2 linked regions of the Pelodiscus sinensis genome follow. The protein of the gene in region 2 binds, or shares a complex with, the protein of the main gene of each other region. Links are inferred from orthologs where the notes say so. Each region holds a gene or a part of one and is shown on either strand. Other genes may lie near its edges.

Region 1 (8,014 bases), on a different chromosome or scaffold from region 2:
ATCAGGGCGGATTCTGCGCCCAAGCCTCTTTCCCGCTGCCCCCCACGCAGGGAATCCCCAGAGGCAACCTGGCCCCACATGCCCCCTTCCCTGGACAGGGCCGGAAAGGCTCTCATTGAGAGGGCAGCTGGCACACTGATTGGAGGGACAAGGGGGTGGAGGATGCCAACCTGCCTGGGTGGGCAGAGGGTGGGCAGCCGGCAGGATGGCGAGGAGGGGACAACCAGGCAGCATGCGGAAAGAGCAGGTGGGTCCCTGCTGATGGGCAGCCAGGGGCCCGGAAAGCCGCTCTCTGGGCACATTGCATCCACCCTCCCCGGCGCGGGAACGGTCAGGGCCTGCCCTGGGCCAGGAGAAATCCCCCCCCCCCACACACCTGTCTCCTGGGCCCGAGGCGTAGGGATGGTCTATGCGGTCACCGCGAGGCACCCACAGCAGCGACAGGCCTGGTGGAAACACTTAGGCCTCGGCCCTTCCCGGGTCTCTAAATGGAGTTGCCCCCCCACTTGGAGGGTATGGGGGGCAGGCAGAGCAGATGGCAACCTGGGCCAAGACAGAGCAGAGGCAGCGCCCGGGTGGTCGCCCCTCCAGAGCCTTTCGCGGGTGCCCAGATCGCTGCGCCGGCAGGGGAGTCACTGGGTCCCGCTGCAAAAAGCCTCCGGCCCCTCTGCTCATTACACGCCGGCAGCAGCAGGGTGCCCTGTATGCTGAGTGCTTGGGCGGCCACCCAGGAGAGTCACACGCTGCTCAGCTGCTGAGCAGAGCGCCCCCAGCCAGCAGCGGGTGTTTCTACGGGTGGTGCACGTCCGCACAGGCCACACTGCGCAGAACATTTATTCCGCACATGGATGCAAGCAATTAGAGGGAACACTGGGGGGCACCAGCGGGATTTTACTTCAACCAGCCCCCAAAGTGCCCCAGTTCAGTCCCTGCCACTCGGACGGACGACAGGCTCAGAGCCTGCTGCAGCCACCGTGGCCGACCCGGTTCGCAGACCGGGGCCCACATCGCGTGAGGAACGCTCCTGCGGCCGAGGGCTCACAGCAGGGCCTGCTGCCCCCAGGACCACCCCCCCGATACAGAGTGGGGGGGCAGCCCCTACCCCAAGGGTCCCAAAGGCACTGCCGGAGACAGCTCATCACTCAAGTCTGGCTTCCAACCGTGGTTCGAACACGCCGCAGGGAGACCCCAGATGCTACCTGCCCCATCCAAGCCATGTGCCATCTCTGGGGATCCTGTATGGTTCTGGGGTGAGTTGGAAGTGAGGCTTCAGTCCCCCCCAAAACCAATGCCTCTGGAATGTACGCCCAGCCCCCCGCACCCTCGGCCTCCAAGCTGTGGGCCCACCCCCAGCCCACACTTCCAGGGTATGGGCCCAGCCCCCCCAAACCCTCAGCCTCCAGGTTGTGGGCCCAGCCCCACAAAAAACACATGGCCTGCAGGCTGTATGCCCAGCCCCTAAACGAGTCACAAACACACAGGATCCATTTTACTCCAGCCACATGCCAGAGCGGGGTAGCGACGGGCACCAGCCAGACACACCCGAGCCACGGACAGCACCTCTCGCGAAAAGGAAGCCAGGCCTGAATCCACTTGCGTTTACACTGGCATCCAACCAGCATCACTCCACAGGCACCCACCAAGCCGTCCTACGCCAGGGCGAGAGCAAAGGCAGCAAATCGCACCCCGAACGTCCCTCCTTTCCGACCCTCTGCTTGTGTCACGGCGGCACTGAGCCCCCCCGCCACGAGCCCCTGTAAAATCTGCTCCCCCTTTTCCTTCCAGCCCAGCAACCTACCAGGACTCCGCTCCTGCCTTACGCCCCGGAACTGCATGGGCTCCCCGCAGTTCTAGTACGTCAAACTGGGGGAGTCCAGACAGGATGGGGGGGGGGTAAGAGGCCTGGTTTCTGCACCAGGTCGGTCCCTGTCTGCTGGGTTTGCTCGAAGTGTTTTGAATGAAGCCTGAAGCAGTGACCCCTCCCCTTCCAAATCCCCACGTGTAAATCTCCCACTGAACTCCTCGTCCTCTGCCCCCCAACATCCCCAGGGGCTCTCCCCTCTCCGCTCCGGCTGCTGCAACGCCAAGGTGATGCCAAAGAGGCCTCCCATGAAGCTTGGGGGAGAAGAGATCCCCTTGCCGCAGCGCTACCCTGCCTCTTGCCAGACCCCGGCACCCTCCCCACCCTGCCCGGCCACAAGACACCCCACCCCTGGAGTGCCCCATCCCCGGTTATGCAGGGGGAAGCAGAGGCGTCCCAGCTGTTCTCTTGGAAACCCCATTTGGCTGAGGCCAGGAGCGAAGCCAGATGCCAAGCTCCAGGCGCTGGCAGGTTTTTTGTTTTTTTTTTGGGGGGGGGGGGAGAAGAATACAAGCAAAACAATCCCTCTCCCCATCCCCACCCATTGAGGAGTTTAAGCATCATCTGGTGCAGCAAGAGGGGGCAGGTCTCTGTCAGGGCAGCCTCCTGGGTCGCCCCGCAGGAGGATCAAGCTAGTGCCAAGGGGGCGCTCAGCGAGAGCCCCCGCCAGCCCCCCAAAGGGGCCGCTCGTCCCTCCCCGCGGCCGCTGACAAGCCAAAGTGCCCCGGGGCAGGCGGCGCTCCGAGCGGGGCAGGCGTGCGCCCCCCGGCTGGAAAAGGGCCCATTGGCACCGCGCAGGACGCGCGTCGGGGGGGGGGGGGGAAGAGGAAGGGGGGCAGAGGAGTAAAGGGGGGGCTGCAAGTCAACGTCTCTCCAGGCGGGTGGGGGGCAGAGGCAGGCGTCCGGGCTCCGCGTTACCTTGGTCTCCTGCGGGCTGGCGAAGGTGCCCGGGCACCGCTGGGCATCTGCGCCCTGGGGGTCGTTCTCCTTCTCCGTCAGCTCCGTCATGGTGCGGGCGCCACTGGGGCACGAGGGGGAGGGAGACAGACCCCCCCCCCCTTGCTGGCTTGGGAGAATAAACCCCCCCCCGCCCGAAGGGGGGGCGCGGCCCCGGCTCCCCCCCTGCTCCCACTTGGAGAGAAAACTTCTCGGTCGCCGCTTTAATGCAACAACCCCCCCGAGCCGAGCGCAGAAAACCCCGCCCCCGCGCCGGGCTTGTCCTCTGCAGCCGCCCCCGGCTCTGCCCCTGGCCCGGCCCGGCCGCTCCGCGCTGGGCGCCCGATCCCCGCGCTCTGAGCCGCCGCCGCACGCTGCGCCCAAGTTTGATTTAGGAGGCTGCCTGGCTCCGCCCCCTCGGCTTTACGAGAAGTTCATTAACCTCGCTCGCTCATTGGCTATGCTAATCCAGAGGCAGCCGCCGCCCGCCCATTGGCTCCCTGCGAGGGGGTGGAGCTGCCCCCCCCCTTCCCGCACCGTGGGAGCCGGGGCTCTCGGCTCTGCAGGGGGCCCCCCCGTCGGCAGCTGGTCAGTTTCAGAGCAGACCTAGGAAGGGGGAGGGCTGTCCTGGCTGGATGGGGGGGCTGCCGCATCCCCTGGCTGGATTGGGGGGGGGCTGCCGCATCCCCTGGATGGATGGGGGGGGGGGCTGCCGCATCCCCTGGCTGGATTGGGGGGGGCTGCCGCACCCCCTGGCTGGATGGGGGGGGCTGCCGCACCCCCTGGATGGATGGGGTGTCTGTCCATCATAGCCAGGGTTCACCATTTGGGTCGTGGCTCTCAGCCCCCCCACCCCATATTGTTCCAGCCCCTCTGCCAGGCTGTGTGTCAGTCTCTTCCGTGGGATCAGGTGTTTTTTGGGGCGGTACCCCCAGATCTATCCTCACCCCCCTATTCTCCCTTCCACTCCACAGATACTCTTGCTGCCAGCTGCTACTGTGCATTGTTGGAACACACACACACACACACACCCCGGCCTGGGCCAGCGGGGTCCCTCATATCCAGTGAATTTGGAGGGGCAAGGGGTTCTGTGGAAGCATCTCCCCTTTTTTAAGGTGGAATTTTTTTCCTCGCTGCCTGCTTTCAGCAAGATCTAAAATCCCCCAGTGGGGCAGGCGGTTCTCTTTTCCGTCCCCGAGAACAAGACCCGTCCCCTGCTGCCTTAACCTTCACCCCCCTTGCGCCCCACTTTCTGGTTGTCTGTGCCATGTGCCACAAGTCAGGCCTCTTCTCCCCCTCCCCCAGCCTGCCTCCGGCTAGGCCCAGCTCCCAGACATCTGCTCACGGATGCCGCCTGGCTCCTTGCGAACAATGAGATCACTGGCAGGTTCTCAGCTGCCGTGTGGGGCTGCCGGCTGAGACTGATGGGGGCACAGGGAGGACACAGGGCCCTGTGCGGTGCTGAGCACCGGAGAGTGGCTTTTCCTGGCTCCTTTGCTCTCCACCCGCCCCCACCCTCCCCGGCCGCAGGCTTCTCTTGCTCAAGCCGGTGGCATCCGCCTGATGACTTCACCAGGCCTATTCTTGTGCCTACTCTGCTGCCCACCATCTCTACTCATCCGCCAGCCTCTGAGCATGTCTCAGCATAGTAACCCGACCAGGCATAGTAACCTGGCATCAGCCCTGCGTGCCTGGCAGGTTTGCCCTCCTGCAGGACAACTTCCTGCCCTGTCTTGGCCTTCCCCTTTCAGGCATCACCTGGGCCCTCCGAGGTCAGCAGAGGGGCAGCGAGGGGGAAGGTTCTGTCCAAAGGACAGTGACAAGAGCTGCCCCTTCTCCTCCAGCAAGTTGTGAGTCAGTGGTAGAGCCAGGACAAGCAACCCTCCCTGCCTGCTGGTGTCCAGCCCCTGTGGCCCTCCGAGTGGTTAGATCGTGTGAGCCCCCCTCCCCTCCCCGCCCGGCAGAAATACAGTCCCTGGGTTTTGAAGACGAGAGACCTGGGCCATTTTGTGATCAGTGACAAGAAGGGCGGAGAATTGTGTGTCTGTGTGTGTGTCTGTAGCTGGGATCTACTCAGCCCACACGGGGCTGGGGTGTTCTCCACACAAACGCAAGGGTAACGTGTGTGGAACATACCAGCTCTTTTCTCTCTCCCGCAAGGCTCTGCTCCGAGCACCCCACACTGGGGACAGGAGAGAGGGGCAGTAGACCCAGCTCCCAAGGGCGAGTAGGCACCTAATTCACTGATGCCTGAGTTCCGATCACCTCCACCTCACCCTGGGCTGTTCTGAGCGGTGGCTGCCCTGGTAGTTAAACTGGCAGGGCTGCGGGGCTTAGGGGGGGCGGATTTTTCACACACCCACATGACAGAGCTATATTGATCTCAGCTGGAAGTGCAGCCAGGCCTCTGAAACCCTATCAAAAAGTGGAGTCGCCCCCTATCCGCAGCCTGTCCAAGGCCTGGTATCTATTTGAAGACACCCCAGCAGAATTCGGTGCTTTTTTGTGGAGAAAGCCACATCTGGGTTCTTCCCCAAGCGAAATCGCCCAGTGGCATGCTGATACATCCCACCACTGCCTCCAGAAGCCATTGGGAGGCCACGGGCGCAGGGGAGCATGGAGGCCACGTCCTAATTGCCAGGTGGGGGGAAATTCAGGGGGTGAACGACTAAGAGGCAGGACCACGCCCCCCGCCACTCCAAACGAGAGGCGGATTCTCTGGTTTGACGCAGCCCCGGGCGGAGGACGTGTCTTACAAGCGTCACTGCCCCCAGTGCCAAGCAAAGGGCTGATTTACGGCGCTGACGAGCCATTTAGTCCCATCCGTCAAAGCCAAGGGAATTAAAATGCACCAGAGCCCCTTGTCTTGCTTCAGTCATCGCCGAGACAGGAGGCTTTTTACGAGACGTCCCTGGCAGGCGTTGGTTAGATTCTCAGCCTCCAGCTGCTCCTGCTGGTCTCAGGGGCGCGGGGGATTCTACAGCCTGGGCCCTGGAAGCCTTGGACAGGCCAGTCCTGGGGGGTCGCAGCGAGCGCTGCAGGATTCGGACACTCTGGGACACGCAGCGTGCTGGGAATCTGACCCCTTGGGCCCCAATCTGCTCCCCTCTCCCTATGTGGAGTAGCACCCTACTCCAGCAGCCGGCCCAGGAGAATGGACTGAATGGAGCTCCCCCCTCCCATGTGTAGATTTCAGGGCTCTAAATCTCCTTAGCCCCAGGATAAACTGGGGAGAAAATTCTTCTGGCTTGAGCTCCAGCCCAACGTTCCGGGAGAGCCATGTGGCCTGGAGCAAGCGACTCCGCCATGTCCTTGGAGGCGAGCGCCCCCGGCTGCCAGGAATTTGCCATGTCTCCACTGCCTGCATTGGTCACACACTGGACAAGGCGCAGCTGGATTCAGGGTCAGAGCGGAGCAAGGCCTCCTGCAGTGGAAATATTGGGGGGAGGGAGGGGCTATGTTCCCACCCTGAACATGTCACACGGTCTTTAACTGCTGCTGGCGCCAGCTGGGCAACCGGCCAAGCCAGGGCCCAAGAGAGAGACCCCACCATGTCCCAGGCAAGGCAGCTTTGGCTGGAGTCGGGCTCCATTGCTCCTCCATCGTGCTCTGCTCCTGGGCTCCAAATGCAGCAGCCTCCCTTGGAGGGAAAAGCTCAGGCAGCGGGTGTGACGGCGTGTTGGGGGTCCCCCGTCTCCTGCACCCCGAAATGGCACAAACAGACTGCACCAGCCGGTGGAATAGAGGAAGTTTATTGCCTCTCCAGGATACAGCACAGCACAGATGTAGTCTGGTCACAGAGCTGGGCTAGGATGCCTCAGGCCCCCTTGAGATGGGGGAGACTGGGCCCCTAAACTCCAGCCCCTTTCCCTAGGCTGTCTCCTCCATGCTCCCAGACAGCAACTAACCAACACCCTTTCAGCCCTGCCCCCCAGCCAGGGCAGCATCCACCTTCCTTTGTTCCTCTCCATGGGGGGTGTCTGGCCATACCGGTTGAGAGGTCCCTTTGCATAGTGACTCATCCTGTTTTGCTGGGTCGTGGTACCCACGGCAGCCAGGGGGGGTTACCCCAGAGCCAGCAGCATAGAAACCAGCCAGGTACCCCCACTACGTCACAGCGGGTTAACAGCCCCCGGAGTTCGACCCATTTGGTCCCTCGTCTCTCGCGCGCTCTCTGCTCGCTCTCCCTGCCGGCGAGCGTCAGCCGAGGAGCCACCAGAGCTCAGGCTTCGCTCGCAGCTCGTCCGTCTCTTCCCGCCGCTCCCCGGCATCCCACGGCCTGGCCGGCAGACCCCGTTCCCAGGCCCCTCGCAGAGAGATGGGCACAGGCAGCAGCTGCATCTGGCTTTGGAGCCGAGGGGCGTTTTCTTTCCTGGCGACGGGGGAGGCCGAGGGTCTCCATCCGAGCCGGGTAAATCCTATAGAGATGCCCCCATGGGCAGGTTGTTCTATGATTGTCCACTGGGGGGAGGCGGGTCTTGCCCCTTCCTCTGGTGCTGGGGGCTGATACAGGCTGGCTGTAGAGTTGCCACCCAACCAGATTTTCCCAGGACTGACCCTTTTTTAGGCAGCTGTGCTGGGCAATCAGGTCGGCTTCCCAGGCCCTTAAAAGGCCCAGGCTCTGTCAGCCACACCCCTGCTGGCTCCCCCAGCTCCTCCTGGCCTGGGGAGCATCAGCTTGGAGGCAGGCAGGCCCCTCCCCGCCAGCCCCTTCCTTGGTGGCTCTGCTGTGAGCCAGCGGCGGGTGTGGGGCTACGGGGCAGGGCCTGTGGGTTGCAGACAGGGGCAGTGCAAGGGGGGTGTACTGCCCCAGCTCGGGCCCAGATGCATCCCGCCCCGCTCCCAATGGAGGGCGCCCTTCCGCCGCAGGAGGCCAGCGGGCCGGTCCCAGCCATAAACTCCTGGGGGAGGAGACATCCCCGCGCCCAGCTCCAGCAGGGGCGTCTGAGCCAGACTCCCCGGGGGGGGGGGGGTTCTCCCCCAGCCGGGCTGCAAGCGGGTCACCAGCGCCGCGTTTGCTGCATCAGCACCCGGCTGGCGTCACAGGCCCGGCAGGTGTCAGCGGAAGCGGCCCCCGCCTGGCTACACGGAGCCGCTGCCCGAGTTATACCCGCGGCTTGGCAACTGCAGTGCAGCCTCCCGCAGACAGCGGCCGAGCAGGGCCGGGGGGGATCCGGGGGCGGGGGCGGTGCAGCCCAACCCCCCCCCCCCCGGGTG
Region 2 (6,950 bases):
GTCTGGACACGTTTAAAAAAACAAACAAACCTTTTTTAAAAAACCATGTAAACCTCATTTTTTTAAGGAAGAGGGGTTTTTCGAAAAAGGGTTTTTTTTTTTTCCTGAAAAAAATGCGTCCAGACTACTTTCACTTTAGAAAGTGAGACTGGAAAAATACAGCATAGTCTAGATGGACCCTTGGAGAGCTGTGTCCAGTTCTGGGCACCACATTTCTAGAAAGATGTGGAGAAAATGGAGACGGTCCAGAGAAGAGCAACAAGAATGATGAAAGATCTAGACAGCATGAGCTTGAAAGAAGACTGAAAGAATTGGGCTTGTTTAGTTTGGAAAGGAGAAGACCGAGAGGGAACATGATAGAGGTTTTCAGGTGTCTAAAAGGGTGTCAAAAGGAGGAGGAAGAAAATTGTTCTCCATGGCTTCTGAGGATAGGACAAAATGCAATGGGCTTAAACTGCAGTGAGGGAGATTTAGGTTGGACATTAGGAAAAACTTCCTAGCTGTCAGGGTGGTCAAACATTGGAATAAGTTGCCCAGGGAGGTTGTGGAATCTCCATCCCTGGAGATATTGAAGAGCTGGTTAGATAGGGATGGTCTATAGTACGGGGTCCTGCCGGGAGGGCAGGGACTGGACTCGATGCCTCTCGAGGTCCGTTCTGGTGTTCTACGATTGTGTGACTCGCCCGTAGGGGTTGGGGCCGAGAGCTCCGAATGCCACAGTCCACCGAGATTCTGCCGAGCGGTCTCAGCTTCCAAGGGGAGTCTGCCACTCGGTGGGTGGACTGAAGCCTGGTGCCACTCGGAGCTGGCACGGAGTTTGCCTGCTGACTGAGCCGGTGTGGTGACTTTCCGGTGGCAATTTGGGGCTTACTTAAAGCCTGCAAACTCTCGGGCCACCACCAGGCACCTGCAGCTCCAGCTCCATGAGGATCCCCTGGTACCGCTCAGGACGATCTTGTGTCTCCTGGGGCAGGCATTTCCCTGCCAGGGGCAGAGCTGGGGCCTCTGAATTTGCCATCTTGACTTGAGATTTTGTGGCCTTAGGACCCCCAAGAGCCACCCCCCAACGGCAGCCCTCTGTGTTAGCCCTTCCGGGCCAAGGAGACCATGGACCCCGCTCCAGCACTGCCCAGGGCAGGGAACAGACCATCCCCACCCTGCCGGACCCGTCTCTCAAAGCTCAGTCCGCCTCAGGGAGCCGTGTAGGGGCGGAGGAAAGCCAGGTACCAATTCCATGCTGCTGCCACACCTCCGCCTGCCAGAAGATGTCCCCAGAGACCCTCCCTGGCGCTCTCAGCAGTGGCTGGGGGGGCGTTGCTCTGAGCCCTCCCTGGGGGGCTGCAGCAGTAACTCGGCCCATCCATTTAATCCCAAGTGACACGGGGACCCTGATTAGCAGGAGAAGGAGGGAAGGCAAGCTCGGGGCCCACGCGGGGCTGCAGTCAGAGGTGGGGACTCAGCCCATGATACCCAGGGACCCCAGCGTGTAGGGGCCAGAAGGAAAATGTGACCCTAAAATGCAGGAAATGATCTGGGGGGAGGGGGGTGGAACTAATGTTGCTAATTTTACCCCTTTACAGCTGAGCTGATTCTCCCAGACAGGCAGCAACGGGCAGGAACAGCTGCAGCGTCTCCCCTCCCCCAGCTCGCTTGCCGGCACCTAGCTGGGATTCGCCAGGACTGTGCTGCAGTGGGGCTGCTGGGCCTCCGACTGGGATGCGCTTCAGAGTGGGTGACGTGAGCCTGAGGCGGCATGAGCCGTACCAGGGATGCTCTGAAAGTGGCAGTGTGGCTGAGTGGTTAGCACCTTCAGGGCACCCGGCTTCTGTCCCTGGCCTGCTGGGTGATGTGGGGCCTTGTCGTGTGGGGCTGCAGTTTCTCCACTTGTAAAGAGCCTACTGTCTCTGTCGCGCGCTCTCAGAGCATGGCTGTGAAGTGCAAGGTACGATTGTTTGGTCAGCTCTGCTGTGGCTGTGCTATATGACTCTGAGAAGGCTGCTGCTCCCTGTCTCAGTTTTCCCACCTATATAATGGGGATAATCTGCCTTACCCACTTTTCTCAAGTGCTCTGAAATCTGCAGGTAGAAGGCTGCCTGTGCTCAGTATTCTCCAGTACTTGTGGCAGACTGAAGGCAGCAGGCTGCAGGAGTTTGGGGAGGGCAGGTACACGGGGAGTCGGGTGAGCGGGTTCCTGTTCTCTACCTAGGCGGCTAAAAGCTACCTTTAGATCTGCAATTGTGTGTCCAGGGAGATTGAAGTGTTCCAGACGTGTACCCAGAAGTCTCCTACTACAAGACAAGCCCAAGAAAGAAACCAACAGAACACCACTGGCCATCACCTACAGTCCTCAGCTAAAACCTCTCCACCGCCTCATCAGTGATCTACAACCCATTCTGGACAATGATCCCTCACTCTCACAGGCCGTGGGAGGCAAGCCAGTCCTCGCCCACAGACAACCCGCCAACCTGAAGCAAATTCTCACCAGCAACTACACACCGCACCATAATAACTCGAACTCAGGAACCAAGCCCTGCAACAAACCTCGGTGCCAACTCTGCCCTCATATCTACACCAACGACACCATCACAGGACCTAACCACATCAGCCACACCATCACGGGTTCATTCACCTGCACATCTACCAATGTAATATTCGCCATCATGTGCCAGCAAAGCCCCTCCGCTATATACATCGGCCAAACTGGACAGTCCCTACGTAAAAGAATAAACGGACACAAATCTGATATTAGGAATGGCAACATACAAAAACCTGTAGGAGAACACGCTCCCTTGGAAGCCGTCTCAGAGCTTCACTGCCCTTCTGACTGACTGATGGGCTCTCACAGCCCCCGGTGCAGAAAATAGGGTGCTGCAGCCCCAGGCTTTGCACCTCAGCCAGCACCCCGAGCTCTTAGGGTCCCTGCCATTGGCCCCCAGGGATCATGGATGCTAGGCCTGCTGCAGCGTGGGGCTCTGCTGCTGGCCCCACGTCCTGCTGGGCAGCGGGTCCCACTCGGCCATCAGCCCTATGCCTGGTGGCTCAGTTGCTGGCCATTGTCCCACTTGGCTGCTGGACTTGGAGGCTCCGCTGCTGGCGCCTCGCCACAAGCCCCATTTGCAGGGTCCTGGCTGCCAGCCCCAGCGGTAGGGGGCAGTGAGGGGGGTGGGCAGGAGTAAGGGTGCACCAAGTACCCCCGCTCCAGAAACAGCACGAGGGCCGCTGCTTGCAGCCGAGCGTGGGCAGCAGCAGAGCTGGGCTGTTTGTTCCAAGCTCTGGATGGGGCTCAGGACACTGCTCCCCACTCCTCGTGCAGGGCCGTCCGTGCAGGGCCTGCTCATTACAGTCCCATCCAGGGGCAAGAGTTCTGAGCTGGGCAGAAGCAGGCTCTCAGGGCTCCTGCCAGGCGTGGGGCTCGGGAGAGCTGCGTTCCATGGCCTAGCTGCACAACGGCTGTTAGGTGCCCAACTCCCAGTGGTCACTATGTGCCTAAATCCCTCTGAGGAGCTGGCCTCTGTTCCTCTTCTGCCAAGCAGGGACCAGACACTGGCTCCCTCCCATCCGTGTCGCTCAGATTCTGCCGGCTGGGACAGGGTCGGCCTCCCACGTATGTGCGGTGCCCAGCGCTACCCGATCCCGAGCACTAAGAACGGCCTTACGGGGGCCGTGTCCCACCAAGCGCGGTGGCAGGAGGAATTCCCGGGAAGCAGACACCAGCTGGGAGCGGCGAATGCCCAGCGCTAGTCTGGGTGGGTTTATCTGCAGCCTTCCCCCGCCCGAGGGAGGACTGTCGCTTCGCTCTGTGCGCGCCCCGCGCCCGCTTGCACAACGCAGGCAGCTTGTATTGTTTAAACAGCCTGCTGGTTCCTCGGGCTGCTCCAGAAGCCGGGGGGAGGTGGGGAAGAGGGTTAGGGAGAGAACTGAGCTGGGGCGAAGAGAGTTTTTCTCTGCGTATTTCCCTCTCGGCGCGAGTCCTTTGCCCCACTCCCAGCCTGGAGCGATGGCTTGGGAAGCCATGACCGGCTTGGGATAAGCTGGGGACGAAGCAACAGCTGCAGGGTTCTTTTGCTGTCTCAGGAACTCTGACAGCACCGGGCGCGGAGACGGTGTCTAATTTTAAACTCCTGCCTGGTGCATTTGTGTATGTGTGAGCTCGATTTTCAGCCCCCTGCCTCCCCCTCCGCAGCAAGGAGACTGGCTCGGCAGCAGAAGAGAACCAGAAGGGGTTTTGGTCGGGGGCCGGGGGTCTCAGCTGGGGGAGAAGTGGAGGAGGGGCCGGGGGGACAGCAGCTGGCAGAGGCAGCTAGGGAAGGAAGATCATGGAGTCTGCTTCTGCCCAGGATGATCAGAAGAAAAAGCAACAGAAAGAGAAGTCCAAGAAACCGGTGCCACCGGCAGCCCCCCGGCCAGCCAGGGCTCTGTTCTGCTTAACCCTTCAGAACCCCTTGCGGAAAGCGTGCATCAGCATCGTGGAATGGAAGTATCCTTTCTGTCTAGGCAGGGAGGAGGGACCGGGACTGGGGGGGCTAGAAATACGGGAGACCAGCACCCCGACAAAGGCCGAGGGGCACTGGCCAGTGTGTGATCAGGGAATGCCTCGACCCAGCGGCCGGCCAGAGGAAAGTACGTGGCCAGGGCGCTGGAGGGAGCGTTCGGGGCTGTTTGGAATGTGGTTTACGCAGAGCTGGTGTTCCTGTCCCTGGCGGCCGGAGAGGGGCCTGTCGGTACGGCCCGTCTCGCGGGGGATCCGAAAGGCCAGGGGAGGCTGAGGAAAGGTGAAATATCCATGAAAAGGAGCGAGGGCCCCGATCCTGTGATTCCCGCTGCACTCAGGGACGTACAGCTGGCGTCAGGGAGGTCCGGATCTGGCCTGTTTTCTTGGGCCGAGGGCAGAGATGGTGCAGCAGAAGGGGGGATGTTTGGGAGGTTTGGCTCAGGGACCCAGTGGCTTTTGTTTAGTCTTTGGCAGCAAGCAAAGATGGGGCCAATGGAAATAATCCCCAGAGTCCCCCTCTCGCGAGTGCAGCCTGGCGGGAGGGGGCAGATCTTGGCAGGGGACGCCGCTTTCGCTTCATGAGGGAAGACATACAATCCAGGGCTGGCAGAGGCCATCTTGGGGAGGAATGCGAGCGGGCCAGGCGGAGGCGCAGGGACTTGGGGCAGCGTGCCCGGGGCGCGTCGTGCGCCGATGGCGGGCAGGTGCCGCGCGACTGGAGAAGCCGGGCCAGGGGTCGGGGTGTGGTGGGGAGAGGACGCACTTTGCAGAGGGAGCAGGAAAGAGAATAAGGCGGAGGAGGCCCCGGGAGGGGCGGTGGGGCAGGGGGAGTAAAGCCAGGGGACGGAGAGACAGAGCTGCTTGGAATAGCTCCGGGAGTGCGTCAGCGCCTCGCCGGCTGCCCACAGCTGCTGTCTGACATCACAGACGGATGGCTGCCTCTGCCCCTCTCCTCGTGCTTTCCTTCGCCCTCCTTTTCCCCTCCCCATCTCTGTCCCCACCCCCATCTCTCTGCCTTCCCCCGGCCCCTCCCTCTCTCCAGCCAGGGCCCTGGCGCTGAGCCCGGCTTGGCCGAAAGGCCTGCTGCAGAGGACCGAGTTCAGGGTGATAACAGAGAGTTCGCAATGGGCCCGTCTAGGAACCTGTGATTCTTTCCTTTCCCCGCCCTCGCCCTCCCCTCCTTTCTACGCTCTGTCTCTGTCTCCTTCCCCTCTCCTGGCTCTTTCTCGTTGGACCTCCCCACCCCATCGCCAGGGAGGCTGCCCAGGGGGCACAGAACCTGGGCCCCGGGACCCAGCTGTTCTCCCTTGGCGCCTCATGGGGACGCTGCCAGGCTCGCTCACGGGCCAAGCCGGCGGGGGTCAGAGGCGCTCGGCTTAGCCCCGGGCCCAGAGAGGAGCCGAGGCTGCTTCCCTGCCCCTGAAAATCGTTTGCTACAAAACTCTCGAGGGACGTGTCAATTTCTGCCCCTTGTCACCATTCACAGGGCACTGAAATCCAGGCCTAGCTCCCTGGGCGGGGGGCGAAGGTAGGGAGGCAAGTCCCCAGCCCCGCCCCCAGCCCCGCCCCTTCTGCCTAGGCCACGCCCCCATCACGGGGAGGTGGGGTGGTGCTAGGCCCAAGCCTCCCAGCCCCAGAACCTGGGGATGGCGGGCGCTTGGGGGCAGCAATGCTCCGCCTGCAGCAGGTGTTTGGGGGGCGGGGCCAGGCTGGCAGTTCGGGAAGGCAACGCCTCCCCTTGCCTAGCGTACCAGTGCCCATGCCTAGCTCTTCCCTTATCCCTGGGGCTGGACTTGCCTGTGCGTCCCGCTGGGACCGTGCACGGGACGGGCAGCGCCCCGGCATCTGCGTGCACTTCCTGCTGGCCAGTTCCCCCCCAGCCAGCCCCGCTCCCTCTGACCCCCTCCCAGACAGCTCCCCTCCCCTCCTGGCCGGTCCCCCCCCATCCCGTTCTGAGATCACGTGTGTCTGGTATTTTTTTGAAACCCCTAGGAGCTGCCCCGGGACTGGGGAGCAGGGCTGGCTGGGAGCGATCGGGGGGGCAGGGGAACCAGCCAGTGGGAAGCAGGGCTGGCCAGGCAGGGATCAGAGGGAGCAGGGGGGAACTGGCCAGTGGGAAGCAGGGCTGGCCAGGCAGGGATCAGAGGGAGCAGGGGGGAACTGGCCAGTGGGAAGCAGGGCTGGCCAGGCAGGGATCAGAGGGAGCAGGGCTGGCGGGGGGGAACTGGCCAGTGAGAAGCGGGGCTGGCCCGGGTGCATGCAGATGCCAGGGCACTGCCCATCCCGCACCCCAGATCTGTAAGAGGGTCTAAATAGGAGCATTGGTGTAACCACCAACAGGAGACTTTGAACCTGGGACCTCTGGAGCTTAGGGTAGGAGCCACTACAGCAGGGTTACTCAACACACGGCTCATGGCCTATTTGTTTGCAGCCTGCAGTGCAGTTTGGGTTTACGTGG

What was found.
Region 1: the proteins of CACNA1S (region 2) and STAC2 are in contact, whole or in part, in a crystal structure (PDB 6B27), measured with the Homo sapiens proteins. The link is inferred for Pelodiscus sinensis from reciprocal best matches to the Homo sapiens genes CACNA1S and STAC2. Residues at the interface, in NP_000060.2 of Homo sapiens: Glu749, Pro750, Glu751, Ile752, Pro753, Ser755, Pro756, Arg757, Pro758; in NP_945344.1 of Homo sapiens: Tyr301, Lys302, Phe303, Gln306, Glu307, Asp310, Asn326, Asp328, Trp329, Phe340, Pro342, Asn344, Phe345.

What each region holds. Positions count from the first base shown.
Region 1 is NC_134739.1:12,029,444-12,037,457, reverse strand, and holds the start of STAC2 (SH3 and cysteine-rich domain-containing protein 2), read right to left. Parts: upstream 3,015-8,014; 5' UTR 2,870-3,014; coding exon 2,780-2,869; intron 1-2,779. UniProt on the Homo sapiens protein: Plays a redundant role in promoting the expression of calcium channel CACNA1S at the cell membrane, and thereby contributes to increased channel activity. Slows down the inactivation rate of the calcium channel CACNA1C.
Region 2 is NC_134737.1:15,030,329-15,037,278, forward strand, and holds the start of CACNA1S (voltage-dependent L-type calcium channel subunit alpha-1S), read left to right. Parts: upstream 1-3,935; 5' UTR 3,936-4,316; coding exon 4,317-4,477; intron 4,478-6,950. UniProt on the Homo sapiens protein: Pore-forming, alpha-1S subunit of the voltage-gated calcium channel that gives rise to L-type calcium currents in skeletal muscle.